Elephas maximus indicus: one gene and its partners. The protein of the gene in region 3 purifies or fractionates together with the protein of the main gene of each other region. This does not show direct contact. Links are inferred from orthologs where the notes say so. Each region holds a gene or a part of one and is shown on either strand. Other genes may lie near its edges. The genes, in order: MRGBP, JAZF1 and bromodomain-containing protein 8.

Region 1 (9,969 bases), on a different chromosome or scaffold from region 3:
ACCCAGACTCCACCCAGGCCCAGTCAGGCCACGCCCCCACCCCCCACCACCTCTGGCCTTAGCCCCGGCTTGCGGGGCGGCGGTGGATCCCCGAGGGCCCACCACCTCTCCCCCAAGGCACGCGATCTAGGCCGGCTGGGCGCAGACGCCCCTTCCGGTGCACAGTAAGACCTCAACTGGGGAGTGGGGCGTGAGCCCCCATGCAGTTTGTAGCCGGGGCGGGACGGATGTGCGCGCCAAGGGGCACAATTAAAGCCAGTGAGCGCTGGCCCACCCCACCCTGCACGGCCTGGCAATAGCGTCTGTTCTGCTCTTTATTTTTATGACGGCTTTACTGAGATAGAATTCACATAATATACCATTCACCCGTTTAAAGTGCACAGTTCAATGGTGTCTGGTATACTCAGGGTTCTTCAACCGTAACCGTGGTCAATTGTAGAATGTTTTCATCACCCCAGATAGAAACCTGTACCCGTTATATTGCACAAGGCAGGAAGCATCAAAAGAAAATGGAAGGAATACATAGTCCCTGAACCAAAAAGAATTAGTCAACGTTCCACCATTTCAGGAGGAAGCGTATGATTGTCCTAGGGTAAAATGGCCACAAGGTCATATTAAAGCAAAAAGAAAGGTTTTATTCGGCCTAAATTCAAAGAGGCAAAAGCAGGAAACGGACACACCTGCTGCCAGAGCCACGTCTGCCTGAGTCTGAGGAATATTACAGAGTAGGCAAAGTGGGAAAACGGACACGCATGCTGCCAGAGCCACGTCTGCCCCAGCCCAAGGAAAGCAAAAGAATCATCAGTAGATATTGTTACAAATGAGTAAAATCATTGAAGGCTTCGCCTTTTCACAAATTGGCTGAAAACTGCTAATTCACAGCGATTCTGCATTTTCAATTGTCTTTCTTAGTAATCATTGGTACGGGTTTCAGTAACAAGAGTCAGGAGGGTTTTCATTAGTCCAACGAGTCTTACTATTTACTAAATGCCAGTAAGAAGAGATAAGAGTGGGAAATATGTAGATCATTTTCCTCTGTTTATGATTTATTTATGTGAAACTTTTCCTAAAAGATATTTTCCAAGATTGTCCAGCTGTTGTCTTTATACCTCAGCGCCCAGCTGATGTGTCTTTGTGAGTCCAGCTCCAGCTGGGCCACATTCTTTATACTCAAGGACAGGAAATAATGGCTCCAATTTTAATCTCCTAAATCGTGATCAAGAACCAATGGTACTGAAGGAAGAAGTCTAAGCTGCACTGAAGGCATTGGCAAAAAACAAGTCTCCAGGAATTGATGGAATTTGAATTGATATGTTTCAACAAACGGATGCAGCACTGGAGGTGCTCACTCGTCTATGCCAAGAGATTTGGAAGGCAGCTACCTGGCCAACCGCCTGGAAGAGGTCCACATCTGTGCCCATTCCAAAGAAACATGATGCAACAAAATGCAGAAATTATTGAACGATATCATTAATATCATAAACAAGTAAAATTTTGCTGAAAATAATTTAAATGCAGTTGCAGCAGTACATTGACAGGGGGCTGCCAGAAATTCAAGCTGGATTCAGAAGAGAAGGCGGAACCAGGGATATCGTTGCTGATGTCAGATGGATCTTGGCTGAAAGTGGAGAATACAAACAGATGTTTACCTGTGTTTTACTGACTATGCAAAGGTGTTCGACTGTGTGGATCATGACAAATTATGGATAACATTGTGAAGAATGGGAATTCCAGAACACTTAATTGTGCTCATGAGAAACTGTACATAGACCAAGAGGCAGTCATTTGAACAGAATAAGGAGATACTGTTTGGTTTAAAATCAGGAAAGTTGTGCATCAAAGTTGTATTCTTTCACCATACCTATTCAATCTATATGCTGAGCAAATAATCCAAGAAGCTGGACTATGTAAAAAAGAGCTCGGCATTAGGATTGGAGGAAGACTTACTAACAACCTTTGTTACACAGAGGACACAACCTTCCTTGCTGAAAGTGAAGAGGACTTGAAGCACTTACTGATGAAGATCAAAGACCACAGCCTTCAGTATGGATTACACCTCAACATAAAGAAAACAAAAATCCTCACAACTGGACCAATGAGCAACATCATGATAAACAGAAAATATTGAAGTTGTCAAGGATTTCATCTTACTTGGATCTGCAATCAACACCCATGGAAGCAGCAGTCAAGAAATCAAGACACGTTGTATTAGGCAAATCTGCAGCAAAAGACCTCTTTAAAGTGTTGAAAAGCAAAGATTTCACCTTGAAGACTAAGGTTCGCCTGACCCAAGCCATGGTGTTTTCAATCACCTCATGTGCATGTGAAAGCTGGACAATGAATGAGGAAGATCAAAGAAGAATTGACACCTTTGAATTGTGGTGTTGGCAAAGAATATTGAACATACCATGGACTGCCAAAAGAATGAACAGATCTGTCGTGGAAGAAGTGCAACCAGAATGTTCCTTAGAAGCAAGGATGGTGAAACTATGTCTCACATACTTTGGACATGTTATCAGGAGAGACGAGTCCCTGGAAAAGGATATCATGCTTCGTAAAGTGGTAAAGTAGGTCAGTGAAAAAGAGGAAGACCCTCAACAAGATGGATTGACACGGTGGCTGCAATAATGGGCTCAAGCATAACAAGGATTGTGAGGATGGCTAAGGATCGGGCAGTGTTTTGCTCTGTTGTACATAGGGTCACTCTGAGTCAGAATCGACTCAACGGCACCTAACCACAACAACAACAATATAAAGGGATGAAACACTGACACATGCTACAACATGGATGAACCTAGAAAACTGAGGGAAAAAAGCCAGTCACAAAAGAATACCTATCGTAGAATCCTATTTATATTAAATTTCTAAAAAGGCAAATCTCTGGAGACAGAAAGTAAAGCAGTGGTTGCCTGAGCATTGGGACAGGGGAGGTTGGGGAGAAATGGGCAGTGATTGATAATGGGTTGTTGTTGTTGTTGTTAGGTGCCCTTGAGTCACTTCTGACTCATAGCAACCCTGTGTACAACATAACAAAACAATACATGTTTGATCAATTTCAGACTACAGAAGTCTGTAAAAAAAAAACTTCCATTTCTTCATCTTTGGCCTCAGTGGTTGAGGCATAGATTTTAATAATAGTCATATTAACCAGTCTTCTTTGTAGGCATATGGATATTGTCATGGATTGAATTGTGTCCCCCAAAAATGTCTGTCAACTTGGCTAGGTCATGATTCCCTTGTATGATTATCTACCATTTTATCTTCCGATGTGGTTTCCCTAGGTGTTGTAAATCTTATCACTATGATGTAATAAGATGGATTATTGGCAGTTACATAGATGGGGTCTACAAGATTAGATAGTGTTTTAAGCCAATCTCTTTTGAGATATAAAGGAGAGAAGTGAGCAAAGAGATGGGGGACCTCATACCACCAAGAAAGCAGCACCGGGAGCAGAGCGCATCCTTTGGACCTGAGGTTACTGCGCTGAGATTCTCCCAGACCAAAGGAAGATTGATGACAAGGATCTTCCTCTAGAATCAACAGAGAGAAAAAGCCTTCCACTAGAGCTGACGCCTTGAATTTGAACTTGTAGCCTACTAGACACTGAGAGGATAAATTTCTTTGTTTAACCATCCCCTTGTGGTGTTTCTGTTATAGCAGCGCCGGATGGCTGGGAGAGATATCACGCCGTCACTGGCAGTGTTGTACTTCAGCATAGCTCTTGAAATGTTCTTTCTGATGATAAATGCAGCACCATTCCTCTTCACCTTGTCCTTCCTGGGACAGTAGACCATATGACCGTCCAATTCAGAGTGGCCGGTGTCAGTCCGGCTCAGCTTCCTAATGCCCAGGGTATCCGTGTTTACAAGCGCCGTTTCCTTTTTGACCAATTTTCCTAGATTCACACTTCGAACACTGCACCTTTAGATTATGAATGGATGTTTGCAGCTATTTCTTCTCATTTTGAGTCGTGCCGCATCAGCAAATGAAGGTCCCCAAAGCTTGACTCCATTTACACCATTAAGGTCGACTCTACTTCGAGGAGGCAGCTCTTCCCCAGCCGTCTTCTGAGTGCCTTCCAACCTGAGGGGCTCAGCTTCCAGCACTATATCAGACCATGTTCCGCTGCTATTCATAAGGTTTTCACTGGCCAATGCTTTTCAGAAGTAGACCACCAGGTCCTTCGTCCTAGTCTGTCTTCGCCTGGAAGTTCAGCCGAAATCTGTCTGCCGTGGGTGACCCTGCTGGTGTCTGAATACCGGTGGCATAGCTTCCAGCATCACAGCAACATGCAAGCCCCCACAGTACAACAAACTGACAGACACGTGCGGGATTCCTTTATATGGCTGAACAATATTCCATTGTACGGATGGACCATGTTGTGTTTATCCATTCATCAGTTAGTGGGCAATTGGGAGGTTTCTACTTTTGGCTACTATGAAAAATGCCGCTATGACCATTCTTGTACATGTTTTTGTGCGGACATGTATTTTTCTTCTCTCTTGGGTAGATACCTAGAAGTGGAATTGTTGGCTCCAACGGTAATTCTGTTTAACCATTGAGGAACTGCCAAAACTGTTTACACAGCAGCTAAACCATTTTACATTTCTTCAGCAATGTACTAGGGTTCCAATTATTCCACATCTCTGCCAACACTTGTTTGTTTCTGGGGTTTTCTTTGCTATTTTTTGTTTGTTTGCTTTCTTATTCTAGCCATTCTACGGATGTGATGTGGTATTTCATTGTGGTTTGATTTGCATTTCCCTGATGCCTTTTAGCCATCTATCTATCCTATTTGGAGAAATGTCTATTCAAATCATTTGCCCATTTTTTAATTGGGTTTTCTTTTTATTATCGAGTTGTAAGAATTCTTTATGTATTCTGGATATGAGTCCCTTATCAGATATAACTTGCAAATATTTTCTCTCACTCTGTAGGTTGTGTTTTCACTTTCCTAATGATGTTCCGGAAACCCTGGTGGTGTAGTGGTTAAGTGCTATGGCTGCTAACCTAAAGGTTGGCAGTCCAAATTCGCCAGGCGCTCCTTGGAAACTCTATGGGGGCAGTTCTACTCTGTCCTATAAGGTCGCTATGAGTCGGAATCAACTCGACGGCACGGGTTTTGGTAATGATGTTCTTATTTTATTTTATTGTGTTGAAAACAATACATAACAAAACATTCGCCCTCACAACCATTTCTACATGTACAATTTAGTAACATTGATTACATTCTCCAAGTTGTGCAGCCATTCTCGCTATCCTTTTCCAACTTGATGCTCCTCTTTTTTTTTTTTTTTTAGCGTTCTTTTTAAAATTGTGCTTTAAAAACAAATCCCCAAATTATAAGTGTCACAGCGCCAGTCCCCGCACACGTGGGCGCTGCGCCGCGGCAGGCTGTCGCCAGGGGGCGCGGCTGGCGCGCACCGCGCCCAAGCAACACTGCGCCTGCTCAGGGCCAGAGCGCGAGCCCGAGCGCGTCCCGCAGTCGAGCGCGCGCCTGCGTGTGCGCCTGCGCGGAGCGAGGCCGCGCCTCCCGCCGGGTCAGCTCGGCCGCCGGCCATGGGGGAGGCCGAGGTGGGCGGCGGCGGCTCCGCGGGCGACAAGGGCCCGGGAGAGGCGGCCACCAGCCCGGCAGAGGAGACAGTGGTGTGGAGTCCCGAAGTGGAGGTGTGCCTCTTCCACGCCATGCTGGGCCACAAGCCCGTTGGTGAGCGCGCCGGAGGCCGCGGACTCGCGTGGGGGCGGGGCGGCAGGGTAACCGTCGGGGGCCGGAGGGCGGGGCGGCGGCGGACCCACCCCACCGCGCGGACCCCCCCCACCGCGCGGACCCCCCCCCACCGCGCGGACCCTCCAAACCGCGTGAGCCCCCTCCCCACTGCACGGACCCCCCCAAACCGCGCGGACCCTTCCACCTAGCGGGCCCTCTCCACCCGGCCCCTCCCGCTCATCCCTGCCCTTTGCCACTGTGGATCCCCCCTTGTACCCCCCCACGGACCCCTTCCCCTCCTGTTCCCCCCATCTCTGTCCCCCCACCAGCCGTTGCTGTCCCAACCACAGACACCTGCTGGCTTCTCCTGTCCAGCCCGTGCCCCTTTCTTCTGCCCCCTTACCTGCTTCCCAACGCCTCTGGCAGGTGTGAACCGGCACTTCCACATGATTTGCATCCGGGACAAGTTCAGCCAGAACATAGGGCGGCAAGTCCCATCCAAGGTTATCTGGGACCACCTGAGCACTATGTATGACATGCAGGCACTGGTGAGCTTTGACCCCTGATCGTCCTGTGTATAGAATCAGAGCTCTTCATCCCAGACTGAGCTCAGACTTCCTTGCATGGGTAGCTGAGGACCCCCACAGGACAGGCCCGGCCCTCATGCAGTGGACAACAGGGCATTAAACAAGGGCTCTCTCGCAATAGGGCACCCAGTTTGTGGAAACCAAGCTTGCTGGTGGAAGCCAGTCCCTGGTGGGCCCTGGGGTGGGTCTTCCAGCACCAGGCACTCAAGTGCAGGCAGCGTAGCTACCTGGACTGCTAGCTGAGCTCAGGGAGAGGCAGCAGCATCGCTAGTCTGTGGGAAGTCCCGGCGTGCTGCAGGCAGGAAGGGGACCTCTGTGGCTTCTCATGGAGCCAGCAGAGCTCATAGCTGGCAGCCAAAGGGCGAGTGGGTTAACTAGGGAACCAGGACGGAGCTGCACTGGACAGGGCGGGGTTATCAGGTGACCAGGGGAGTGGGCACCTCTGCTGGTGCTGGGACCCACTGTGCCCCACGCACTGAGTTGGGTGCACCAGCCCCTGGCCAAGGCCTGGGCAGCACATCGGCGAGGCCGTGAACATATTGGCCTTTTTGGGTTCAGGTTCTGCTCTTCCACTCACTGCCGGTTGTCCTGGGCGAGTTCCCCTCTTCCTAGTTGTGAAGAAGGGAGGAAGATGGTAGCCATGCTGCTGTGGGCTGCTGTAGGCAGGGGTGTGAGTAGCCGGTCGTGGGCACAGGGGAAGCTTTAGTTGCTGTTACTGCAAGTGACTGAGCTTGGGCACTGGTCACTTATTCCTTGTTACTACTCTCTGGGTCAGTGGCAGGCCACACCCTGCCACTTCCAAATGACCTAGGGTGCCGAGGGGTCAGCAGTGCCCAGATTCTCCCCACTCAGCAGAGCACGGACTCAGCCAGGCTATGAAGGCCCCGGGCCTGCCCTCTCGACACCTGCCCTGTAACACCGTAGGGTGACCTGTGAAAGGTAGTGGGGGCACCAAGCCCCAACCCTGGGCTAGCAATGGTAAAAGCTGGGGCTCAGAGAAGCCTATGCAGCACAGTCCCTGTCCATGGCCCGCTCCTGAGGTGGGCTTGGCTCAGGATCACAGTCATGTGAAGTCAGGCCCGAGGCAGCCAGGCTGTAGAAACCGCCCCTGTGAGCTCAGGGGGATAGGGAGTGCCAGCCCCTCCCCTCCCTGCCTTATTCCTGTAATGGCTCCTTACGTCACTGGGGGAGGGAGACGTGGGGATGGTATCTGTTCTAGAACAAGGACCACACAGGCTGACTCCAAACCACCAGGACCCATCCCGGCAGATGGATTTCAAGGGCCCGGAGTCTGTGGGGTTTTTGGAGTGCACAGGTTTTGATTGGCACATGTAAGCCTGCAGGTGTGGGCAGGCTACCTGGCGGAACACAGCCCACCTCCCAGGTCAGCCAGGACTGTCCCACCAGCCCATCTTTCCCTCCCGTCTGGTGGTCCTGCCTTTCCAGGGTCTCTGTCCCTTCTGGGACCCATGGCCTAGAGGACAGGAGAGCCCCGATCAGAGTCCATTGGTGAGTGTGCTCTGCTGCTTTGCCTCCTTACCCCTGAGAGGCTTCACCCAGCTTCCCTGAGTGTCGCCCACGTGGACAGAGGTGGCAGCACTGTGTTCTGTCAGCCCCTCCCTGCCCTCTGCCCTGCACTCTGAGTCGGCTGTGGTCTGGCCAGCTCTTGGGTGAGCAAGCTGTGAGCCAGTTGTGCAGCACCTACAGCGTTGCCTCTGCCCTGGCTCTGGGAGTGTGTTAGTGGGTAGGCTGGGCCGCTCTGGGTGCTACTTGTCCCCACCCCCAGGACACTGGGTGTCTACATTCATTCGTTGCTCCTGCATACACTTTTAATGGCTGAAATCACATTTTCTTCATTTCTTAAAAAAACATTACACCCTCTCTGACGTCAGCATGAGTCCGAGATCCTCCCCTTTCCAAATCCAGAGAGGAACTTCGTCCTTCCAGAGGAAATCATCCAGGAGGTCCGAGAAGGTAAGACGCAGGCCACTGAAGTGGGGTTTGGAGACTAGTAAAAGGCGGGAGCTGGCTGAGGGCGGCAGCACTGGGTGAGGCCACGTGCCAGGGAGGACCAGGGTCTGGGAGGGGAGTGAATGGGTACTTAGGGGCCCCGCTCAGCCTGGACTTGGGGGCCAGGGGACTTCCACAATAGGAGAGGGTTCTTTCCTTGAAAAGCGGTGCGGTAGAATCCGTGTGCCGTCTGCAGCGTTGGCTGGCCTTGCCCTGGCTCTGCTGCTCACCGGGTGAGCCTCCCCCAAGCAGGGCCGTCGGTCTCCCTCCACAGGAAAAGTGATCATTGAGGAGGAGATGAAAGAGGAAATGAAGGAAGACGTGGACCCTCACAATGGGGCTGACGATGGTGAGTGTGAGCGGTGTGCATCCCCCACCCCAGAGGACAGGCACAGCACCCCTGTGAGGCACCCACAGCGTGGATATGCATCACCGCTTTCCTCAGCAGGAGCGTCAGCTTGCTGGCTGACCCCTTTTTAATGCTCTGGCTTAGTATAAACGTTGGCTCCGACCTGCAGGGTGGGAACGCTGAGGTGCGGTGACACTGTCACAGCCATCTGGGGCCAATAGGGCAGCAGCACAGCCTCAGTTACTGGTCGGGGCGACGTGGTCTGTTCAACATAGAACACAGACAAGACAGCCCCACGGGTGTTTCCTGTGCAGCTGTGTGAGCGCGGTTAGAGGGTGCAAGGGGTGAGGCTGCTGTCATGTCTGTGGCAGAGTCCTTGAGGCCTGAGGCCCTGACGGTGGGAAGGCTTGCTCAGGCCCCTTTCGGGCAGAGACCGCAGCTTGGTAGAGACTCTGGAGAGCTGCGTGTGTATGTGTGTGTGTGTGTGTGTGTGCACATGTGTGCGCACGCATGTGGAGCACTTGAGCTGAGCAGGCAGGCGAAGCGAGAGTCTGGACCTTCTGTTTCCAGCGTGACTGGCACTTACAGCCGAATTTTTCTTTTTTTTTTTTCAATCAGTATTTTCATCTTCGGGAAGCTTGGGGAAAGCAGCAGAAAAGTCCAGCAAAGAGAAAGAAAAGAACTCCTCAGATTTAGGATCCAAAGAAGGGGCAGACAAGCGCAAGCGCAGCCGGGTCACCGACAAGGTCCTGACAGCAAACAGCAACCCTTCCAGCCCCAGTGCTGCCAAGCGGCGCCGGACATAGACACCCCATGCTGGGCAGCAGCAGAGAGGTGGCTACGGGTGGGGGGGGCGGAGGGAGTGCAGTCAGCGGGGGTCATTGGGCCCCAGCACTGACCGTCTGGTGCTGCCTGCATCAGCACCGGGGGACGTGCCATCTGGCCAGGGAAGCGGACAGAGGCTTCATGGTGCCCACTGAGACTCTGGGGACTCTGTAGGACCCTGAGGGACTCCAAAGGACGAGGGACAGCTCACCTCAGATCTTGAGGGCTGCACAGGGGTCTCAGCTGTCTTCTCCTGCGTGCACGTTGCTTCCTGGGACGCCTGCTTAGCTCCTGCCTGGGCTGCTGCAGAGGGCCCCTGAGGGACCCCTGTGGAGCAGGGTCCGGACAAGGAGAACGTGTTCGAGCTGGCAAGCAATAAAAATGCCGTTTTCTCTCTGTCCTCAGAAGTAGCCATTAGTCTTCCCCGGGGACTGACTCCTCCTCCTTTGTTTTTCCGTCGTCCGGAGCCTCTCGTTCCACAGGGAACAGCA
Region 2 (10,466 bases), on a different chromosome or scaffold from region 3:
CACTCTGTGCAGGTGCGATGAAAGATTGTCTTTTCCCAAGGGGACTACAATCAGTGCAGTGGCCTCCAAAGCGGAGTGCATTCGCCCTAGGATGTGGGCCAGGCAATCCTCTAGGGTGTGGGATAAAGTTATTAGACCTTCTATTTGTAAAAAATCATCTTCTTAAAATATCTGGTTTGTTTTTATAACATGCATACTATATTTGAATAGCACTGCCTTATATAATTTGGAGGAGCCCTGGTGGCACAGTGGTTAAATTGCTCTGCTGCTAACTGAAAGGTTGTTGGTTCAAACTCACCAGCCACTCCACGGGAGAAAGATGTGGCAGTCTGTTTCTGTAAAGATTACAGCTCTGGAAACCCTATGGGGCAGTTTTACTCTGTCTTATAAGGTTGCTATGAGTCAGAATGGACTTCGGTTTGGTTTATACAATTTGTAAACAAAAATAAATATTCATGGGATCAGGGTTCAATTTTTTTTTTTTTTTTAATTTGATGAGGCTCTTAATAAAAAGGTTTGGGAACCGCAGATGTAGAGAAAAAGGAAGACCAGTAAGCCAACAGTCAAAACAGTGCAGAGGGAGTTTGGCTGGAGAAAAGATGATAAGCATCCAGCTGGTCAGAGTATGGAGATATAGGGAAGACTTCCTGGAGGAGGTAGCAGGTTGAGTTACTAAAGTGTATTTGGTTGGGGGAGAGGAAGGAAGGGAAAAAGAATGTTCCAGGCAAGTGACATAACTGGTGCAAAGGGGTCCCTAGAGAATACTGTGCATTTGAAAACTAAAAGTAATTTGGGAGAGCTTGAGCCATCAATATACGTGCGGGAACTGAAAGGGGTAAGGCTGGGAGGCTTCTTCAGAGAATAGATTATGAAGATCATTGATAAATATATTCTGCTGGTGAAAGGTTACCCCTGAGGAATTCCAGTAGAGAAGGATGAGATCATGGAGCAGTGTTCCCAACTAGCCCAGTCTCTGTCGACACTTGCCTGAGTCCTAGAGGAAAAGGACTGCAACAGTGGGAGGTGATAAAACCTCAAAATGCTGGCACAAAAAAGGTGCTAGCAGCATTTGTAGAGACAGAAAACCCTCAACACTGGGCAATGCTAGGGGGGCACTGATAACTCCTAAGGATACATCTCTGGGCAAAGGCTATGAAGTCTTTTACAAGCATTAGTGCCTCAGTGGCTCCCTTACAGTCAACAACATCAGGAGTTACCACCTCAGTGGGTCAAAGCTGCAACAGGAGCCTTGCATAGATGTTCAATCGAGATAATGAGCAAATGAAATCGTGACAGTTTAGCTGCTGTAATGACCTTATTTTAAATCTCAGGCTGGCCTGGCCTGAGAAGCAGTGGTTCCCTTCAGATTTAGGTTTGGAGCTATCGTCCTGGTGCGGGCGTGGCAGATTAAAGAAGGGTGGTGGACACAGGAAGCCCAGTTAGAACTGCAGTCATTGGCTGGGTATTTCACTAATTTAGTTCTGGAGAAATCCTGCAAGGAATTGGAAATGAAATGCCATCTGTTACGTATATAGTCAGTACGGCAGAAGCAGTGCCGTAGAGAGCTGAAGGGTAATGCCCATAAGAACTGGTCGCTGGTGGCACCCGACTAGAGAACTCCCCATTACCCAACCTAAGAAAAAACCTAAGACCAACCCTAATTCTAGGCAAAATGAGAATTAATCACCAAAGAGCTGATTTGTTTCTGAGCTGGAGTAAAATTAATGCAAAGAATTTGGGGACTTGGTTGCATAAATATTAAACAAGAGGAACTGGAACAGTCGTCGTCCTCCTTGGAAGAAGGTGGGGCCTCAAGAAAACATTCCGCTGAGGCCAAGGGTGGTGGAGGTGGTAGCCTGAGTCATTGTTAGAAGAGACCATGAAGACGTGCGCTAGCCGGAGAAGACCTGGGTTCACGGTCTGCTCATTCTACACAGTAAAAGCAATGCCCGAATCCATTAAACGGCTTACTTATGGCTGTTGTTGCTGTTAACTGCCATCTAGTCAGCCTTCGACTCAGGGCAAGTTAATGCACAACGAAATGAAATGCTTCCTGGTCCCGCGCCATCCCCAGAATTGGTTGGGGCTGTGGATCCATAGGATTTTAATCAGCTGATTTTTGGAAATAGATCACCAGGCTTTTCTTCCCAGTCTGTCTCAGTCTGGAAGCTTTGCTGAAACCTGTTCAGCATCATAGCAACACGCAAGGCTCCACCGACAGATGGTGGTAGCTATGCATGAGGTGTATGGCTGGGAATTGAACCCAGGTCTCCCACATGAAGGCGAGAATTCTACCACTTCACCACCAGTACCGACTGCTTATGTCTAAAAAAACCAAACCATTGCTGTCTAGTCGTTTCCAACTGTAGAGTACAGAGTAGAACTGCCCCATAGGGTTTCCAAGGAGCGGCTGGTGGATTAGAACTGCTGAGCTTTTAGGTTAGCAGGCGTAGCCCTTAACCACTACACCACCAGTGCTTATGTCTAGTGATCCTGAGAAGCACCGTAAGAGGACTTGGGAAACAACCCAGAAAACCTGATAAAATCAAGAGTTGAAGACAGTATCAAGAGTTAACTTCAAAAAAGAACCCAATGTTCGTAAAGATGCTCTCGTAGCGCTAACAGGTTTCCGTGCCGGGCCTAGGAAGTACACGGTTTTCATTCTGAGCGTATCCCTAAATCACCCTCCTCTTGTAGGTGGAGGTCGGACAGCTGCGTAAAGCAGGAGCCTTCTGTGGCTTCCATGGATTCAATCAGACCATTGGATTCAGTCTAATCCAATGGTGGCTTCCCCATCCCATGGGCAGTGGCGGCCATGCTGACTTTTGGGACACTGCTTCTGGATTCCAAATCATTTCTAGATTCTGGAATCTAGACTAGAATTATTTGTAATGCTAAATACCAAGCTCTGGGGCCGTTATAGGTCTGGGCCTATGGTTTCAAATAGAAAGTCCAGGCAACACTTTTAGCCTGCAGCCGCCATAATATCCATCTGATTCAGCAATTTCTTTGAAATATTTTTATTACTCAAATCAGACAGACAAATGTCCTTTTTTTTGCAAGTACAGAGGTGTATCAGTCGTCACTCTCTCTTGGTCACAATAGGTTGGAGTGTTCGTTTTATATATTCTTATAGCTTAGATATTGACTTTATCTGAAGAAATACCCCTGAAACAGACATTTTTTTAAATGTAAGTTCACAAGGGTAAATATGCCATTGTAAAACATTTTTTTTTAAATGTGGTTAGTATATCTTTGTCCTACACTGGTTAAGTGTTAAGGCAGCTAATCGAAAGGTCAGCAGTTTAAATCCACCAGCTGCTCCTTGGCAACCCTAAGCGGGGGGTAGTTCTACTCTGTTCTATAGGATCACTATGAGTCAGAATTGACTCGATGGCAACGGGTTTTCAATGCCTTACTGAATGTGGGTAGTGGTGGTACAGTGGTAGAATTCTCACCTTCCATGAAGGAGATCGGTTTGATTCCTGGCCAATGTACCCCACGTGCACCCGTCTGTCAGTGGGGGCTTGCATGTTGCTATGATGCTGAGCAAGTTACAGTGAAGCTTCTAGACTAAGAGGGTCTAGGAAAAAAGGCCTGTTAGTCTACTTCTGAAAAGTCAGCCAATGGATCACAATGGTCAGCTCTGGTTGTGCATGGGGTTGCCAACGGTGGGTGGGGGGTGGTGACTCTGTGGCAGCTAACAACGCCCTAGTGAGCACTTTACAAATACAGAGAATAGACTGGCTGCGTGTGCTTGGGAGAACTCACTTGATGCCTCTGGCCTCCTCAGTTTACACATTCACAAAATCAGTGTGTCTGATGGCCAGAATGTCTTTCATATCTAAAAGGCCATGATCTTGTATATCATATCAAGGCCAGAAATGCCTAGAGTTTGCAGATTCAAAAAAAAAATTATATGAACAGAACATTACATTGCAAAGCTTCAGTGATACATGAAGAATTAACATGGTGACTTCATATAAACTGATTATTTACAAAATATTAATAATTACTCATGGTGAAGGAACAAATTTAATCTTGATTCATTTTATGAGTTGTTTTGGCTCACTTCATTAAAAAAATTCCATTTATTAAATTTTCTATCAAAGTTTTATTTTAAGAATAGAGAAATTGATGGCAGGTAGAGGAGAGCTAAGCGTTAGTGGAACCCAGTCCTTATACTTCCTTCCTCTTTCACCTGCACATTTCCCGTGTTTCCCACCTCCTGAACTCAGTTGTCTGAACCATCTCTGTCCCTCTCCTCACTCTCTCTGGAGACAGTAATTCCACATAGACAGTTTTTCCTCCACACATCAGAGCTGCTACTTCTTGGTGCTTTTCAGATGCCCTGTGGTAGACATGCCTAACATTCAGGTCTAGGGGAGGCTGTTTTGGACCATTCTGGAGAAACTTTTGCATTGCATTTCCATGTCTCTTGGTGTGTCTGCCAGATAGTCTGCCTGCTTCTCTGCTGAAGGCCCTTCCAGACTGGGCAGCTGAATGCATTGCACAGCAGCCAAAATTGTAGTTCAAGATCTAGAATTCTAACTCCTGCTCTTTAGACCCTTTTCTGGCCATGGCCCCAGTCTCCCATGAGCAGGTTCCTGGCTCATTATCAGGCCCACCCAGGCCCTGCACCCACCCTCAACTGGGCCCAGGAAACCATTCTTGGACACCAAACTGAACTTGAAGGACACAACTACTCCAGCCCCACCCAACCCAATTCTCATCTCAGCACAAGTTAGCCACATTCTGAGATGGGAGACAGAAGAGATGGGGGATGCCACAGGTGAAGGCTGTCGGATTGTAAAACTTTTTGCAACAGAAATACTACATGTGCCTTTAAATACTCAAATGAAAAGCCTTAATAACCCCATTATTAGAAACACTACAGGTGAATATAGTATATGGGGGGGGAATACTATTTTCTCAATGTATCTGAACCAGAGGGTAAATGAAATTTGCCCTAAGGAAAATGCTAAATTTAGTATACAGGAGTCAAGTAAAAAAAGCACTTTTGGATCATAAGCAGCTGACAAGGCCTAATATTCTCAGGCATAAGGGAAGTACTTCTGGAGAACACATACTTTACAGATCAAACTGTGAGTGCCATTGAGGCTGGGGTGGGGGTGGGGAACAAGGAAGTAATTGATTCTTAGCAAAATGCTGGTTTCCAGGGAAGCTACCAAATTAAGATGAAGTGCTTAGCTGGTCAACATTAAATGCTTACAGGATAGTGCAATCTTCATGGACTGGAAGAATATCTTCACTTTTAAATTAAGAGTAAGTACGTGCCTTGACCCTGTTTCTCCTCCTTCTAGCCTTAACCAAAGCATGGTCCTTTCTGCTGGGCAGCCTTCATCCCAGGGTGACAGCCTTGCCATGGTGGTGGGATGTTATAGTGTGGGCTAATTAAATTATTTTAGTTTTTGTTTTCCCAAAAGGATCAGGGAGTACAAACGTGGTACATATGTAAAACGCATCAAATGCATTTGACGACGAAGCACTCTATTTTAAAATTTAAATAAAGCTAAGATTTTCTTCTGGCCTAGAGGGAAACTTCATTAAAATCAATTAGTACAAACCTCCAGAGAATATGTTTTTTTTTTTTTTAGGGAAGGTTTAAAGAGTAAGGTGCACACAATTACCTTTCCTGGGTCCCTTGTGAACGCCAGTGTCACACCTAGCGAGGTGACCAAGTGCAAACAAATGTCCCCGAGAGGGATCCGGGGAAACTCCCTGAGTTCTCATCGCCGGGATGTACGTGTAATTAAGAGATGTTATATATTAAGAACGCAATACACCTTACCAAGAAGGCTCCAAATAAATTGTTCGCATTACAAACTGTGAAGGGCAGGCCGAGCGAGACAAAGTTGGGGACAGGAGCTCCCAGGTGAGGCCTCGGTCCGGGCAGCGGAGGTTAGGGCCGCACAGCTGTTGCCGCGCGCCCTGGTCCCTCCTCCCAGCTGCGGCGGCCTCTCTCCCACCCCGCCCTCCCCCCGCCGCTCCCGACGCCGCCGCCGCCGCCTCCCCTCCGCCTCCCGGTCTCTCCTCGCGCTCCTTCCATCGCTCTCGCCCCCTCTCCCTCCGTCCCGTCCTCTCCGCTCCCCTCACCCCGCCTCTCTCCCCCTCACCCAGCCCCTCCTCTCCTCACCCCACCCTGCCTCCCTCCCTCTCTCTGCCCGCCCGCCCGCCCGGCGCTCACAGAGCCGACACCAGGGGGGCTCTCGATGTAGCACCATGACAGGCATCGCCGCCGCCTCCTTCTTCTCCAATACCTGCCGATTCGGGGGCTGCGGACTCCACTTCCCCACCCTGGCCGACCTCATCGAGCACATCGAGGACAACCACATCGGTAAATGGCCCAGGGGTGGGCGGGGGTGCCCGGCGCGCAGAAACTCCTGCCCAGGCGAGAAGCCCCAGAATGGCCAGGGGTGGCCGGGAGGGAGGGAGGCGGCGGCGGGGCGGGGAGGGTGTGTGCGAGCCGGGGGGCGGCGGGCTGCGGAGGTGCGGGGTGCGGGGCCGGGGAGAGCAGGGCGTGGGTGGGGGAGGGGGCGCCCCGAGGTGCGGCGGGCCAGCTGGGGGAGTCCGAGGGGCGTGCGCGCGGGCTGCGAAGTGTGGGAGTGGGGGTGCACCGGGGCGGGAGGAGCGACCGGCGGCGGGGAGATGCCGCGGCGGGTCCGGCGCCGGGGGAGGGGGCGCCGGGCGCAGGGCGCGGCGGGGTCGTGCAGTCGGCTCTGGCAGGGGCGCGGAGTTAGTTGGTCGCGGCGGTCGGAGCGGCCTGAGGCGCCGGGGGCGGCGGGGGGTAGGCGCTGCACGCCGCCTGCTGCTTCCGCCCCGGCTCGAGCTGTCAGGGCTCGGCGGCGGCTGCAGCCGCCGGGAGGTGGGAGCGGGGGGGCGGGGGTGGCTCCACCGCGGCAGCCATTCCGCTTCCTCCTCCCGCCGCCGCCGCCACTGCGTCCTGTCAGCGCCGGTTGCTAGGTGTGGTGTGTCGGGAGGGGGCCTGAGCCGGCGGCCGCGCGCGGAGGATGGGGCGCTCGCCCTCTCCCCCCGCGGCAGCTGAGCTCGCCAGGTCGGGGACGCGGGGCTGGGCGCCCTCGGCGCCGGCTCCCTGCCCCGGCCTGGGCGGACGCCGGGGGAGCTGCGGGCTGAGGTCCGGGTGCACGGCGGGCCGCGCCCAGCGCCCCGGGGCCGGGCTGCGCCGGAGGCCCCGGCGGCTGCCTCCGCTGGAGAGAAATCCCCCGGGGCCAGCGGCTGGGCATTTAAATGCGCCCCGGTTCTGCGATTTGCCTTTCAAATGGTACTAGGCCCGAGGAGCGCCGGCTGTGCCCAGGGATTGGCGGCGGCGGCGGCGGCCTGCGCAGCGCCCGGGGCTCAGAGGACGCGGGGGAGGGGACGCCCCGCGGGGCGGGTGGTTTCGCTTCACGCCCAGAACCCGCGAACCTTCAACAAGTCCTTTAATTCGCACAAGTCCTTGCGCACATTCACACGTGTCCATCTGAAACCCCTGCGAAGGGAGATGGGCCGGGCTTGTCTGGCCCAGGCGACCCAGCCACCTGCGGAAGGTGTGGCCGGCGTCCGCAAATTGTCCTGCGGGGGCTGGAAGGTGAAGGGCCGCGAGATGCCCCATGGCGGCTGTGAAATCCAGGGAACCAGTAAACTGCCCCGGAAAGCCTTTTCCAGATCAATGCTACGGATTCAGCTGTGGGGATGCACCTCACGTTTCTACCAAGTGGAGAGAATAAATCACGACTGCTGTGTATTTAGGCACGAGTAAAATGAAGCAGAGCGTATGCTCCTTTGCTTAGGATAATGCTTTCTCTTTGCGCACAGTGGGTGCTTAATTAGCATTGGATGCCGGTTTAGAGTGCGATTTAATGGGCCATCGGATTGGGAAATAATAAAGGAAAATATCTGCAAAATGTTTTTTAAAAGAAAATTGTGTGAGTAATTATCCAGGTTTTGAAACTTTCAAAGTTGTAAAACATCCATCTTCTCTGATAAAGGCGTGACAGAAAAGCTGGGTGAGTTTTGGTAGACTTAAATAAAAGCAGGAGTTTAATGGAGTAACACATTTGCTGATTCATATCATGATCGAATGGTCATACTGAAAGTGCTTGAAAGAATAAATCAGGTTTTCATGATATCTGGTTTAAAATCATGCTAAAACTCCAGTAATGCAAATTGCAATAGAAATTTTGTTATTTCGAATTCCTTCCTCTATTCCCCATCAGCCAATAACAAATAAAAATAATAATAATAAATATTTCCTGCCCCAGGGAAGGCTGTCATTGCATATCCCATTCATTTTCCATAACAGTTATTTCAGGACAAACTAATTTATGTAAGGTAATAATTTTGGCCCATTGCCTGCCTACGTGGAATAGCTAGTTAAAAGAAAATCTAAATTACATTTATTAAAATATGTTAAAGGTAGTCATCCTTCTTGAGCATTTAAATCTTACAAAAAAAAAATTAAATCTTAGACCCTTTAAAACTAGTTGTTGGTGAATCACAAGAGTTTTTTTTCTTTTTGTTTGCAAGCATTGTCTTTAATATTGTGCAAACACGTTTTAAGAGGGCTAGGAGTTCCATAAATTTTCTAAAACTCAACTTTTAAATAATGGTATGTCACCCCCTGAAAGGCTAATGTTTTTATTTTAATAGTTAAAATGTGAAAAAATTATGTTTATAGCAATAACTAACAATACTGTGGGCAGGGCTTACAATTATTATGTTTGGGAAACAGTTTGAAACTGCCAGACTTTATGAAAAGTAAATGTTAAAATGAGCAAACACTTGAGGTTATCAGGGTGAAGAGGACAACAAACTATTGTGTACCTCAGCCCAGGAAAGGCACCTTACCTTTAAAGGTAGCCCCATATGCAAAAATAAATAAGAACTTGTCTCAAGAAGAATAAAAACAAGCTGATTGGTAGGTAGTGCCATGTAGATACACTTTCAATGAAGAGACTTGAGTGGAAATATATCAGACAAAGCGTTTAGTGAAAGTTCTATCCATGTGTTATGTAGTATTTACTGTTTCTGGATCAGTCTCTAAATTTTTGGAGAAAATTGATGGTTGCATTTCGTAATTAATATTACTGATTGGGTGTCATTATTAGGGAGTGGCATATTAAGAAGGTGCATGAAAAGACTGTTAAGAGTTGTATATTGTTTTGTCTTTAATTTATTCAAAACCAGTTACCCTTGCGTCCATTCTGACTCCTGGTGACCCCACCTGGGTCAGAATAGAGCTGTGCTCCATAGAGTTTTCAGTGGCTGATTTTTCCAGAGGTAGATTGGCAGGGCTTTTTTTCGAGGTGCCATTAGTAGCTGTTCGCATTAGTTGTTGCACAATCCAGGGCCTTTTAATTTATTCAGGAACCTAACACTCAATCATAACAGTGTTAGAGATATACTTAGGTGAGGGTTCCATCTTTGGGACCTTTCTGGTTATTACCTTTTAACCGCTAGTCAAAATCCATAAGCAGTAGTAAAATGAAGGTTTATGGGAATAGTACATATTTCTTGATTTTTCAAGGCCTGAAGTTTTCACTATAACTACATTAACAGTTAGATATATTAAGTTCATTAAGTTGAGGGTAGCTGTCTCTGTTATGCATGTACACTTAAGCTCATGTTTTTAACCATTTTCCTGTTCCATTAAGAAACGAGGATTTGGGGCTTTAGAACCAAGGGAAGTGTGATTTCCCCACCCTCTGTTTTAGCTGTTTTCCTTTCTCCTGGAAGAGTGCTTTATCTGTTTTCCCTTTCTTCTTTGCATTTCACTGCTGGTCCGGTGCTGAAGCACCTGTCTCTGTGTACAGCTTGAGTATCCCAGCTAAAGCCCCCTCCCCCCCATCCGGAAATCCCCCAGCCCTAGAACTGTGAAGTGCTTCTCCCTCCAGCTTCACTGTCAACAAGAAAAGCTGATCAGGATTTGTTTGCTTCTTAGACTGAGTAGATGCTTGAGGTTGTAGGAACACTCTTGACATGTGCATCCTAGATTAAACTGGTAACCAGGAATCATAGAAACACCAAGAGCACTAAATTTAGCCCTGAAGGTCATGTCACAGACTCATGAAATGCCTCCTGTGTCCCTGCATCCCAGTGCTATGAAGTCATTTGGCTTTTGGTCTCAGAAAGACAACCTGTTTAATCATTCTTACTTGGTGAATTATTTAAAGGCTATGCTTGTAAAAGTACTTCTGCATTTTGAATTTATTTAATAATATATATTGAGCACCTACTTTGTGCCAGGCACAGATCTAGGCACTTGGTATTTATTGGTGAACAAAACAGAAAAAGATAGGAACGTTTGGGAAGCTCACATTCTAGTGGAGGGAGACTGATAATAAGCAATAAGCCTAAGAAGTAAATGATACAGTATTTTGGAGGGTGGTTGGTGCTATGGGAAGGAGGAAAGCTGAGCAGGGTAAAGGGGGTTTGGGAGGAGGGAG
Region 3 (10,218 bases):
TGATTGCATGTTTGATCAATTTCAGACTGCAGAAGTTGGTAAAAATCTTCAATTTTGGCATTAACGGTTGGAGTGTAAATCTGAACTGGTCTTCCTTGTAAGCATATGGGTACTATCCTGTCATTGACAATGTTGTACTTGAATGCAATGAATAAATAACAATGAATGCAACGCCGCTCTTCTTCAATTTGTCATTCCTAGCAGAGCATACCATATGTTTGTCAGATTCAAAATGGCCAATACTAGCATACCATATGTTTGTCAGATTCAAAATGGCCAATACTAGTCCATTTCATCTCACTAATGCCTAGGATATCTATTTTAAAGCTTTCCATTTCATTTTTTACTTTCAATTTTTCTAGATTCATACTTTGTATATTCCACGTTGATTATTAAATAGATTTTGCAGCTGTTCCTTCTCATCTTTAATTGTGCTGTCTAATAAGGTACTTGTGTCTAGAATTAAAAACTCTTATAATTCAATAATAAAAAAAAACTTAAACAACCCAATTAAAAATGGGAAATCTGCATGCTTTTCTGTGGAATTTTTCTTGTGATGCGATAGATCGCTTTTGTGTGGCCTTTCTTGACACAAATAGGGTAATTGTGGCCCACCAAGGAGATTCGCCAATTCTGCCTTAAAATAGAGCCAATTCCAGAGCAACGAGAGGATCCCACCACCACCAAGAAAGAACAGCCAGGAGAGGAGAGCACATCCTTTGGACCCGGGATCCCTGTGCTGAGAAGTTCCTGGAACCAGGAGACATAGAAAGAAAGCGATCAAGTTGTAACCCTGAAGATGGCAAAAAGTGGTGGCAGGAGAGACCAGCAGTAGACTGTGCAGCGGGCTTCCCAGTTCATATGGCAAGAATGCTGAGTACCTGGGTGCCTCTGGGATTTATGGGTAGGGGCTAAAAGAGCTTTGTAACCCTTGCCTGAGCAGAGCAGAGGCCCAGGGCCAGAGGGTACGACTGCAAGCACAGCTGAAAAGTGGCTGTCCTGATGGAAGAACTGTATCCTGAGTGTTCCTAAGCCTGAATTATAACCTGTTACTTCCCTTATAAACCCCCAAATTGTATGCATTGTCTGTGAGTTCTGTGTGGCCACTGCAATGAACTATTAAACCCAGGAGAGAAGTAGAAAGTGCTGTGGGAAAGATGGCTGGTGACAGAAATGGTATAGATGGCAGATAAAGGAGGCATGACTGACCTCCACCTCATAGCAATCAGCCTTGGACTGTTGATCTTGATTCTCCTTTCCCCTTGTGAAAAGTGAAGAGGTCAGAGTCTGCTCCCATGCCATTTTTACATTCTACAAACCTAAAGCTACTCTAAAAAATAAACTGTATTAATAAAAAAATTGGGCAAAGGACTTGAATAAATTTCTCCAAATAAGATAGCCATATGTCTAATACCAAAGTAAAACCTGTTGCTGTAAAGTCAATTCCGACTGATAGCAACCCTACAGGACAGAGTAGAACTGCCTCACAGGGTTTCCAGGAAACAGCTGGTGGATTCGAATTGCTGACTTTTTGGTTAGCAGGCAAACACTTAACCACTGCACCACAGGGGCCCCATCATTATGTCCAATAAGCACCTGAAAAGATGCTCAAAATCATTAGTTACCAGGGAAACTCAAATCAAAACCACAATGAGATGCCACTTTTTTACCCTTTAGGATGGCTATAATCAAAGACAACAGCAACTGTTGGCGAGAATATGATAAAAACGCAACCTTCATATATTGCTGATGGGGATGTAAAATGGTACAACTCTGGGAAACAGCTTGGTAGTTGCTTAAAAAGTTAAACATACAGTTACCCAGCTATTACATTCCTACATATATAGTCAAGAGAACTGAAAACACGTCTACACAAAAAATTGTACAGAATGTTCAAAGCAGGGCTATTCAAAATAATCAAAGTTGGAAACAACCCAAATGTCTACCAACTGATGAATGGATTAAAAAAAAGGTAGTATATCCATACAATGGAATATTACACAACCATAAAAAGGAATGAAGCACTAATACATGCTACAACCAGAATAAACTTTAAAAGCATTATGCTAAGTGAAAAAAGCCAGTCACAAAAAAAGACCACATATTATATGGCTCCATTTACATGAAATGTCCCAGAATAGGGAAACCTATCAAGACAGAAACTATGTCAGTGGTTGCCTAGGACTAGAAGAGATGAGTGAAGGTGGGAATGTGGAGTGACTGTTAAAGGGTTCCTTTTTTGGGGTAATGAAAATGTTCCAAAATTAGACTGTGGTGATGGTTATACAATTCTGTGCTTATACTAAAAATCATTGAATTGTATATTTTACATGAATTAATTTTATGGTATATGAATTTCATCTCAATAAAGGTGCTTTTTAAAAAGAAAAATAGTACTTAAAGGTTAATATGATTAACTATATAAATCCACCAGCATGAAAAAGTATCCTACAGTTTTTAAGACCTAAAAAAACATACCTCCTAGATACCTTACCAATTTTGATCTCCACTCCTCATAACAGAAGATGCCAAACACAGCTTCTCCCGGATGGACCATGGCTCTGTGGGGCCAGTACTCAGCAGCTTGTGTTCTAAAAGGAGAGAAGGCTTAGCACAACCACTGAGACACTAGTTCTAAGCCCCAAAGGGAGAACTAAAGGCCTAATACAAAACATCCCAACGTGTTAGAACAAAATGGGCTACTATGGTGCAGTGGATAAGCACTGGGCTGCTAACCTAAAGGTCCATGGTTCTAACACCCCAGCTGTTCACGGGATAAAGATGTGGCAATCTGCTCCTCTAAAGGTTACAGCCTTGGAAACCCTATGGGGCAGGTCTACTTTGTCCCATAGGGGCACTATGAGTCAGAATCATCTCCACAGCAACAGTATTCCCAAATCTTGATATCCACCCATACAGTGAAATATCACCACTAGAGAGTGGTACTTATCCATTACATGGTAGCTGCACTGAGTATAAGGTAGAAGGAGCCCTGTTGGCACAGTGGTTAAAGCACTTTCTTGCTAACTGAAAGGTCAGGCAGCTCCACAGGAGAAAGATGTGGCAGTCTGCTTTTGTAAAGATTATAGCATTGGAAACCCTGTGGAGCAGTTCTACTCTGTTGTATAGGGTCAGTATGAGTCAGAATCTTCTCAATGGCAATGAGTTTTTAATAAGGCAGAAGAACACTTTACTTTCTTAAAGGCCACAGCTTCAAGCTTCGCTTCATTAAAAAACAGAAAACGTCAGATTAAAACATTAATGTCAGATTAAAACATTAATGTCAGATTAAGCAGTTCTCTCGAAAGGCCTTATTTCACTCATATTTTCTTCCAATTTTAAAACAAGGGCTTACTTCCCAGAATCTGAACGGCCACCTCCTCCTGCCGCCCCGCCTCCTTTTTAGCATAAACTTGCTTATTTCTGTCAGTCCACCCCCGCTGTTTACTGTGGGACTTAAAAGACCTTTTCTATCCACCAAACGGAGGGAAATGGCTGAGCTGCACGAAACGCAATTACCCTAAAGGCAGAAAAAGCTCCCGGTTAAAACATCTTATTTCCAGTGCCTCACAAACGTTCGTTAAAAAATGAATGATTTTTTGAGATGCCGGCCACTCCGTAAGGCGCACAACGTCTCTTTGTCTGCACGCCCAAGTTTCTTAAGGGCCTTTATCCCTTTAGGATTCGTTGAGATGCTTCCCTCACACCCTCTCTCCCAGAGACACAAGACGCTGCACTTCTGGGCCTCTAACCGTTGGCCTTCACGACGCCGTACAGCGCAGGTCTCTGAAGACCCTGGGCTCTCAGGCAAACCACTCCTCCCACTCTCTAAGTGTGTGACAGAAACCTGGTGCCTATCCTCGGCTCTACTAAGGCTTTCCACGCAAAAGAAGCACTGACACTCACTGCCCGTTCCCGCCGCCATCTTAGCTTCGAAGTCTCCAAGCTCCGACGAGGGTTCAGCCAAAGCGAACCTTGTGGAAGTCTGGGAAATAGAGTACGGGCGCTTGTTCGCGGTGGCTCCTGGGAAATGTAGTTCTTTCCCGGGAGGAAGCAAGCACAATAATCCAATCCTCTGGAGCGCTCCTCAGAAGGTGTTGCTAAGGAAGGACAGGAGATGGCGGCTGAAACCTCAGGCTTTCCTTTAGACTTCTTAGGAAAGAAATGTCTAGGGTTCAAGAAAACAGTTAAGGGTGACGAATCCCTGGGGACCCAACAACAGATTCGCGGCAGTTGGTAACCCGGACGCGCAAAACCGAAGCGAGGTCGACCTAAAGCAAACGGTCTCCTAGTCTCGCCCGCCCTCCTTCCATGCTCTGATTGGTAACTGCAGGCTTTGCTATCTGATTGGTCGAACGAACGCAGCGCGTAATTTAAAACATTGTATCAGTAACAAAGCTGCGCCTCGTGGGCGGAGTCGTGGTCCTCCGCGGCGCAGGTCCAGGTTCGGCTGCTGTGTGTGAGCAAGCTGGTACCGGAGCGGGAGCGAGTGTCTCGGCTTTCGGGTAAGTGTGCGCCTGGGCTGGAACCGGGGTTAACAACTCTTGCCCTCCCTGAACGTGTTTTCAGGAGCGGAGCTGCTGCCATCTCTCTGTTTCTGAACACTTCTACATTCACGATTGGCCTTGGGGCGAGTTTGGAGAAGCAGCCTCCGGATCCTAACTCTGGATTCCGCCCGTGTTTCACAGTATCGGAGGGCGAGGCACTGCACTTGGAGCGTGGCTCTCTGCTTTTAGAGCCAGATATCTCTGTTCTTTTCTGTTAAGATGGAAATGCCGCCTGAGACTGGGTTAAGGAATTAACTCCTCCCACCCCTTTCCCTCTGCAAGACTTTGGAAAGAAAAAGCAAAAAAAACAAAAACAAAAACAAAAAAACCCAAACTCGTTGCCGTCGAGTCGATTGCAACTCATAGTGACCCTGTAAAACAGAGTAGAACTGCCTCACGGGTTTTCCAGGGAACTCCTGGTGGATTCCAATTGCCGACCTTTTGGTTAGAAGCCGAACTCTGAACCCTAAGCCACCAGGGTTTCCTTGGAAAGAAAAACCGAAACCCAGTGCTGTCCAGTCGATTCCGACTCATAGCGACCCTATAGGACAGAGTAGAACTGCCCCATAGAGTTTCCAAGGAGTGCCTGGCCCATTCGAACTGCCGACCCTTTGGTTAGCAGCCGTAGCACTTAACCACTATGCCACCAGGGTTTCCTTGGAAAGAAAAGGCAGTAGGAATTCAGGCGTCCAGACCAGGTGTCCTGGGGCAAGGGCATTGTTTCTTACCTAGAAATTCACAGGCCCCTTCTGTCCCTAAGGTTCTTCTCCCTATCCACTCTTGTCTCTTTTTAGACCAAACCTGCCCTTGCTGTCATGTCTCAAGGGATCCTTTCTCCGCCAGTGGGCTTGCTGTCTGATGAGGAGGTTGCAGTCTCCCCCATGTTTGAGTCTACAGCTGCAGACTTGGGGTCTGTGATACGCAAGGACCTGCTTTCAGACTGCTCTGTCATCTCCACCTCCCTGGAGGATAAGCAGCAGGTAAAGGAGCTGTTTGGAGGCAGCAAGTGATAACCCCAGCCTACTAGTCCATACAGGGGTCTGAGAGTTTAAAATTAAGTGCCAGGACAAGTAAAAAACATAGAGGTATGTATCCGTGTTGATGTTGTTGTTAGGTACTGTCGAGTTAGTTCTGATTCACAGTGACTCTATGCACAACTTAATGAAACACTGCTGGGTCCTGCACCATTCTCACAATCATTGCTTTGTTTGAGCCCACTCTTGCAGCCACCATGTCAGTCCATCTCATTGAGGGTCTTGCTCCTTTTTGCTGGCCCTCTACCAAGCATGACGTCATCCTTCTCCAAGGACTTGCCTCTCCTGATAATGTGTCCAAAGTACATCAGATGAAGTCTCACCATCTTGCTTCTAAGGAGCATTCTGGCTGTACTTCTTCTAAGACAGATCGGTTCATTCTTTTGGCAGCCCTTGGTATATTCAATATTCTTTGCCAATGCCATAATTCAGAGCCATCAGTTCTTCGGTTTTCCTTATTCATTGTCCAGCTTTCACATGCATATGTCCATAAGAACTAGTATTTGTTTTGCATCAGTGAAATGTTATGTGCATGCTCTTAGTTCCTCCTGTGAGGGAGGTATAATAGTTATTTCTCTTTTACCATGAGGCACATACATGTTAAATTATTCACACAAGATTATACTACCATTAAGTAGGTGGAACTTATACTCATGTTTTAATAATATCAACCATGTTATTGTTTTTGGTTGCCCCATAGAGTTTCCTAGGCTATAATTTTTACAGAAGCAAGTCTTTCTGCTGCAGAGCTGCCGAGTAGGTTGAAACCGCCAACCTTTTGGTTAGCAACTGAGAGCTTAACTGTTGCACCACTAGGGCTCCTTTTATTGAACCCTTCTTTCTGTTAGGCCAGGGTTTCTCAACCACATTATTGTTGGTAGCTGGATAACTCTTTGTTGTGGGGGGGGGATGTGCTGTCCTGTGCATTGTAAGATGTTCAGCAGCATTCCTGGCCGCAACCCGGTAGATGCCAGTAGCACCTCCCCAGTGTGACAACTAAAAATGTTTCCAGATGCTGCTAAGTGTCCACAGGGGCAAGGGGACAGGGAAAGGCCTTGGTTGACAGCCATTGTACTAGACCCAATGTTAAATGCTTAACATATGTTAACATGTTTTGTCTTCAGAAAAACTCTACCCAGAAGCCTCCTCTCCTATAGAGAGATTCATGAGGCAGGGATCTTGATGTCTCTCACTGTAAACTACCAGACTATCCTGGTGCACCACTTCTAACTCAGATAATTGGTGTAGCAATTATCTTGCAAGCTAGTTTTGCAAGATACTGATGAGACAGGGAAGGGTGACAGATTAGTGAAAAAGTCCGTAATTTTGGGGTAGTGCCAGCATGATTCCTAGGAACTATGCTGTGTTTGTCCATCTGCTCAGAGGTGACAGCTGAGATTAATGTGGTTCCGGGCTGGAATTCTGCCACAGGTTCTATCTGAGGATAGTACAGAGAAGGTGAAAGTATACCTGAGGATCAGACCCTTGTTACCTTCAGAGTTGGAACGGCAGGAGGATCAGGTAAGTGTCTGAGGAGGGACAATTCAAGATGGAATGATACAGTACAGAAGAGGTTCCCAGGAATTTTTCCTTCTGTGACAACCATGTTTCCCCCCTTCTCAGAGTTGTATCCACATCGAGAACGCAGAGACTCTTGTTCTACAAGCACCCAAGGACTCTTTTGCCCTGAAAAGCAATGAACGTGGGATTGGCCAAGCTACCCACAGGTTCACCTTTTCCCAGGTATGGAAGTACTGGGCTGTGAACAAGAGACCAGCATGTAGAGGCAACTTTGTTTTCTCTGGAAAGAAAGCTTTTCTTTCTCTCACTCTCTGTCTGTGGGTATTCACACACACACACCATTATGAAACACCGTTATACACCCCTACAATTTGGGGGGTCTGTGTTATCTGCTAGTTCACTCTGTCAAGTACTATATGTGCATTTATTCACAACTCTATTATTGTCCCTGTTTTCCTGAAAAGGATGCTCTGGCACAGTGAAGGTAAGTAACATTACCAAAACCATGTAGCTAGTTGGTGGTAGAGCTAGGACTTGGATCCAAATCCATCCATCTTCAAAACTCGCCTTTGTGACCGTTACACTACCCCATTGTGTGTGCAGCATTGCACCTAATGTACAGCGTTCCTTAAGTATCTGTTGATTTGGCTGAAAGATGTAGTAACAGAGACTGGTTGAATCTTCAGTGTTGAGGGAGCAGCTGGTAGCAGTGTAGGAGGAAGCTGCTTAAGTGGACTCCAGAGCCACCACCCAGGAAGGAATGAATCTGCTGGGTTTGCATAGGAGACAAGTGGTAGATAAAGGATGGGCCTTTGAAGAACTGGTTCTGTCTCTAGATCTTTGGGCCAGAAGTGGGACAGGCATCCTTCTTCAACCTGACAATGAAGGAGATGGTAAAGGATGTACTCAGAGGGCAGAACCGGCTCATCTATACATATGGAGTCACCAACTCAGGGAAAACCCACACAATTCAAGGTAAGTGGTAAGGCCTCACAGGATTGCTGATTGTCCTGTAATGGTGTTGTCTTTGCTTTCGATGCTGTGAGTTAGGGGGAGAAAGGCACTTACCTCAGCTGTCCATCTTTCACATAACCTCTAGGGACCATCAAGGATGGAGGGATCCTGCCCCGGTCCCTGGCTCTGATCTTCAGTAGCCTCCAAGGCCAACTTCATCTGACGCCTGATCTGAAGCCTTTGCTCTCCAATGAGGTAATCTGGCTAGACAGCAAGCAGATCCGGCAGGAAGAAATGAAGAAGCTAGCCCTGCTAAATGGAGGCCTCCAAGAGGTGAAGTGTTGGTGTCTATAGAGGTGGGGTAGTGGTACAAATCTCTGGAAAGTTTTGTGCTTAACCTTTTCCCCGGGCCTCTCCAGGAGGAGCTGTCCACCTCCTTGAAGAGAAGTGTCTACATTGAAAGTCGGATGGGTACCAGCACCAGCTTTGATAGTGGCATTGCTGGGCTCTCCTCTACTAGTCAGTTGACCAGCAGTAGCCAGTTGGATGGTACGTACCATAACTGGGTTCTTGGCCAAGTAACAGGAACCCATTCCCTGTTCCCAGCAGCTGCCAGGGGTACAAACCAGAGGTTGCAGCCTGAGCTCTGCCTTCCAAGGATCCCCAGGCCAAAGGGGAGATGGACACTCTAGGGTTGATGCTCTGTACGTTGGCTTCTTCCCCAGAAACAAGTCACCGATGGGCACAGCCAGACACTGCCCCAGTAAGTGTCCCAGCAGACATTCGTTTCTCCATCTGGATATCCTTCTTTGAGATCTACAATGAGCTGATCTATGACCTGTTAGAACCACCTAGCCAGCAGCGCAAGAGACAGACTCTACGGTTGTGTGAAGATCAGAACGGCAATCCCTACGTGAAAGGTGTGGGAAAGTGGGGAGGCTGGCATGAACCCTGTAGTGGACTTGAGGGAAGAACTAGGGAAAGAGTTGGGTGCTCCCATCTTATACATTTTTTTCCTTTGGCCTCAGATCTCAATTGGATTCATGTTCAGGATGCTGAGGAAGCCTGGAAACTCCTGAAAGTGGGTCGTAAGAACCAGAGTTTTGCCAGCACCCTCCTGAACCAGAACTCCAGCCGCAGGTGAGGGGGTTCTGAGAGTCAACCTTCACTGTGTTCCAGTAAACGTATGTCTTCCGTCTAGTCATGGAACTTTTCCCCTTTTCTTAACTTTCAGTCATAGCATCTTCTCAATCCGAATCCTGCATCTCCAGGGAGAAGGGGATATAATCCCCAAGATCAGCGAGTAAGTTTGACTATTTAGAAATTTGGGCTTCGTGGCCCTAAATGGTAGTGTGAGGGAGGCCCTCAGAATTACTTGTGGTAGATCCTATGCTCTCCTTTCTTTGGTACAGAGACTTTTGGTGGCCCTCCCCTCTCCAGAACTATATAAAGGGCTGGAAGGCACATAACATATAGGATCCTTATGTTAAATCTTGTCCATCATTCCAGGTTGTCACTCTGTGATCTGGCTGGCACAGAGCGCTGCAAAGATCAGAAGAGTGGTGATCGGCTAAAGGAAGCAGGAAACATTAACACTTCTCTGCATACTCTTGGCCGCTGTATTGCTGCCCTGCGCCAAAACCAGCAGAACCGGTGAGCTCCTGACTGTAAGCTATGGGTTAGGATGGCCTGAAGCTCTGCAATTTGCTAAGACACTTCCTGGTCACCACTGGGGATAGTGCTGGGATACCCAAATGACTAGAATTCTTCTCAAAACACTATTCTGTTTCCCTGTCAGGTCAAAGCAGAACCTGGTTCCCTTCCGTGACAGCAAGTTGACTCGAGTGTTCCAAGGCTTCTTTACAGGCCGAGGCCACTCATGTATGATTGTCAATATGAATCCCTGTGCATCTACCTATGATGAGACCCTTCATGTAGCCAAGTTTTCAGCTGTTGCCAGCCAGGTGAGAAGCTGTAGGTGTGATGGTAGTACCTACTTTGGGCTGGTACCTTTGTTCAGAAAACTACTAGGGAGTAGTTATGGATTCAACTAAAAATTTTCCCTTCTAGCTTGTGCATGCCCCACCTGTGCAACTGGGATTACCACCCCTCCATTCATTCATCAAGGAACACAGTCTGCAGGCATCTCCCAGCTTAGAGAC

What was found.
Region 1: the proteins of bromodomain-containing protein 8 (region 3) and MRGBP purify together in Homo sapiens (affinity purification with mass spectrometry; 10 studies listed by BioGRID and IntAct, counting the BioPlex papers as one, with this or other methods). This does not show direct contact. The link is inferred for Elephas maximus indicus from reciprocal best matches to the Homo sapiens genes BRD8 and MRGBP.
Region 2: the proteins of bromodomain-containing protein 8 (region 3) and JAZF1 purify together in Homo sapiens (affinity purification with mass spectrometry; 3 studies listed by BioGRID and IntAct, with this or other methods). This does not show direct contact. The link is inferred for Elephas maximus indicus from reciprocal best matches to the Homo sapiens genes BRD8 and JAZF1.

Annotation. Positions count from the first base shown.
Region 1 is NC_064843.1:5,189,170-5,199,138, reverse strand, and holds the start of MRGBP (MRG/MORF4L-binding protein), read left to right. Parts: upstream 1-5,520; 5' UTR 5,521-5,559; coding exon 5,560-5,707; intron 5,708-6,133; coding exon 6,134-6,255; intron 6,256-8,186; coding exon 8,187-8,268; intron 8,269-8,578; coding exon 8,579-8,653; intron 8,654-9,271; coding exon 9,272-9,459; 3' UTR 9,460-9,969.
Region 2 is NC_064826.1:89,341,818-89,352,283, reverse strand, and holds the start of JAZF1 (juxtaposed with another zinc finger protein 1), read left to right. Parts: upstream 1-6,026; 5' UTR 6,027-6,243; coding exon 6,244-6,358; intron 6,359-10,466. UniProt on the Homo sapiens protein: Acts as a transcriptional corepressor of orphan nuclear receptor NR2C2. Inhibits expression of the gluconeogenesis enzyme PCK2 through inhibition of NR2C2 activity.
Region 3 is NC_064820.1:151,247,624-151,257,841, forward strand, and holds the start of bromodomain-containing protein 8, read right to left. Parts: upstream 4,091-10,218; 5' UTR 3,926-4,090; coding exon 3,907-3,925; exon of another isoform or gene 3,901-3,906; intron 3,867-3,900; exon of another isoform or gene 3,848-3,866; intron 2,592-3,847; coding exon 2,495-2,591; intron 1-2,494. Other genes in the region: kinesin-like protein KIF20A, read left to right, coding at 5,363-5,527, 7,013-7,102, 7,205-7,324, 7,939-8,077, 8,202-8,389, 8,476-8,605, 8,782-8,976, 9,085-9,196 and 4 more. UniProt on the Homo sapiens protein: May act as a coactivator during transcriptional activation by hormone-activated nuclear receptors (NR). Isoform 2 stimulates transcriptional activation by AR/DHTR, ESR1/NR3A1, RXRA/NR2B1 and THRB/ERBA2.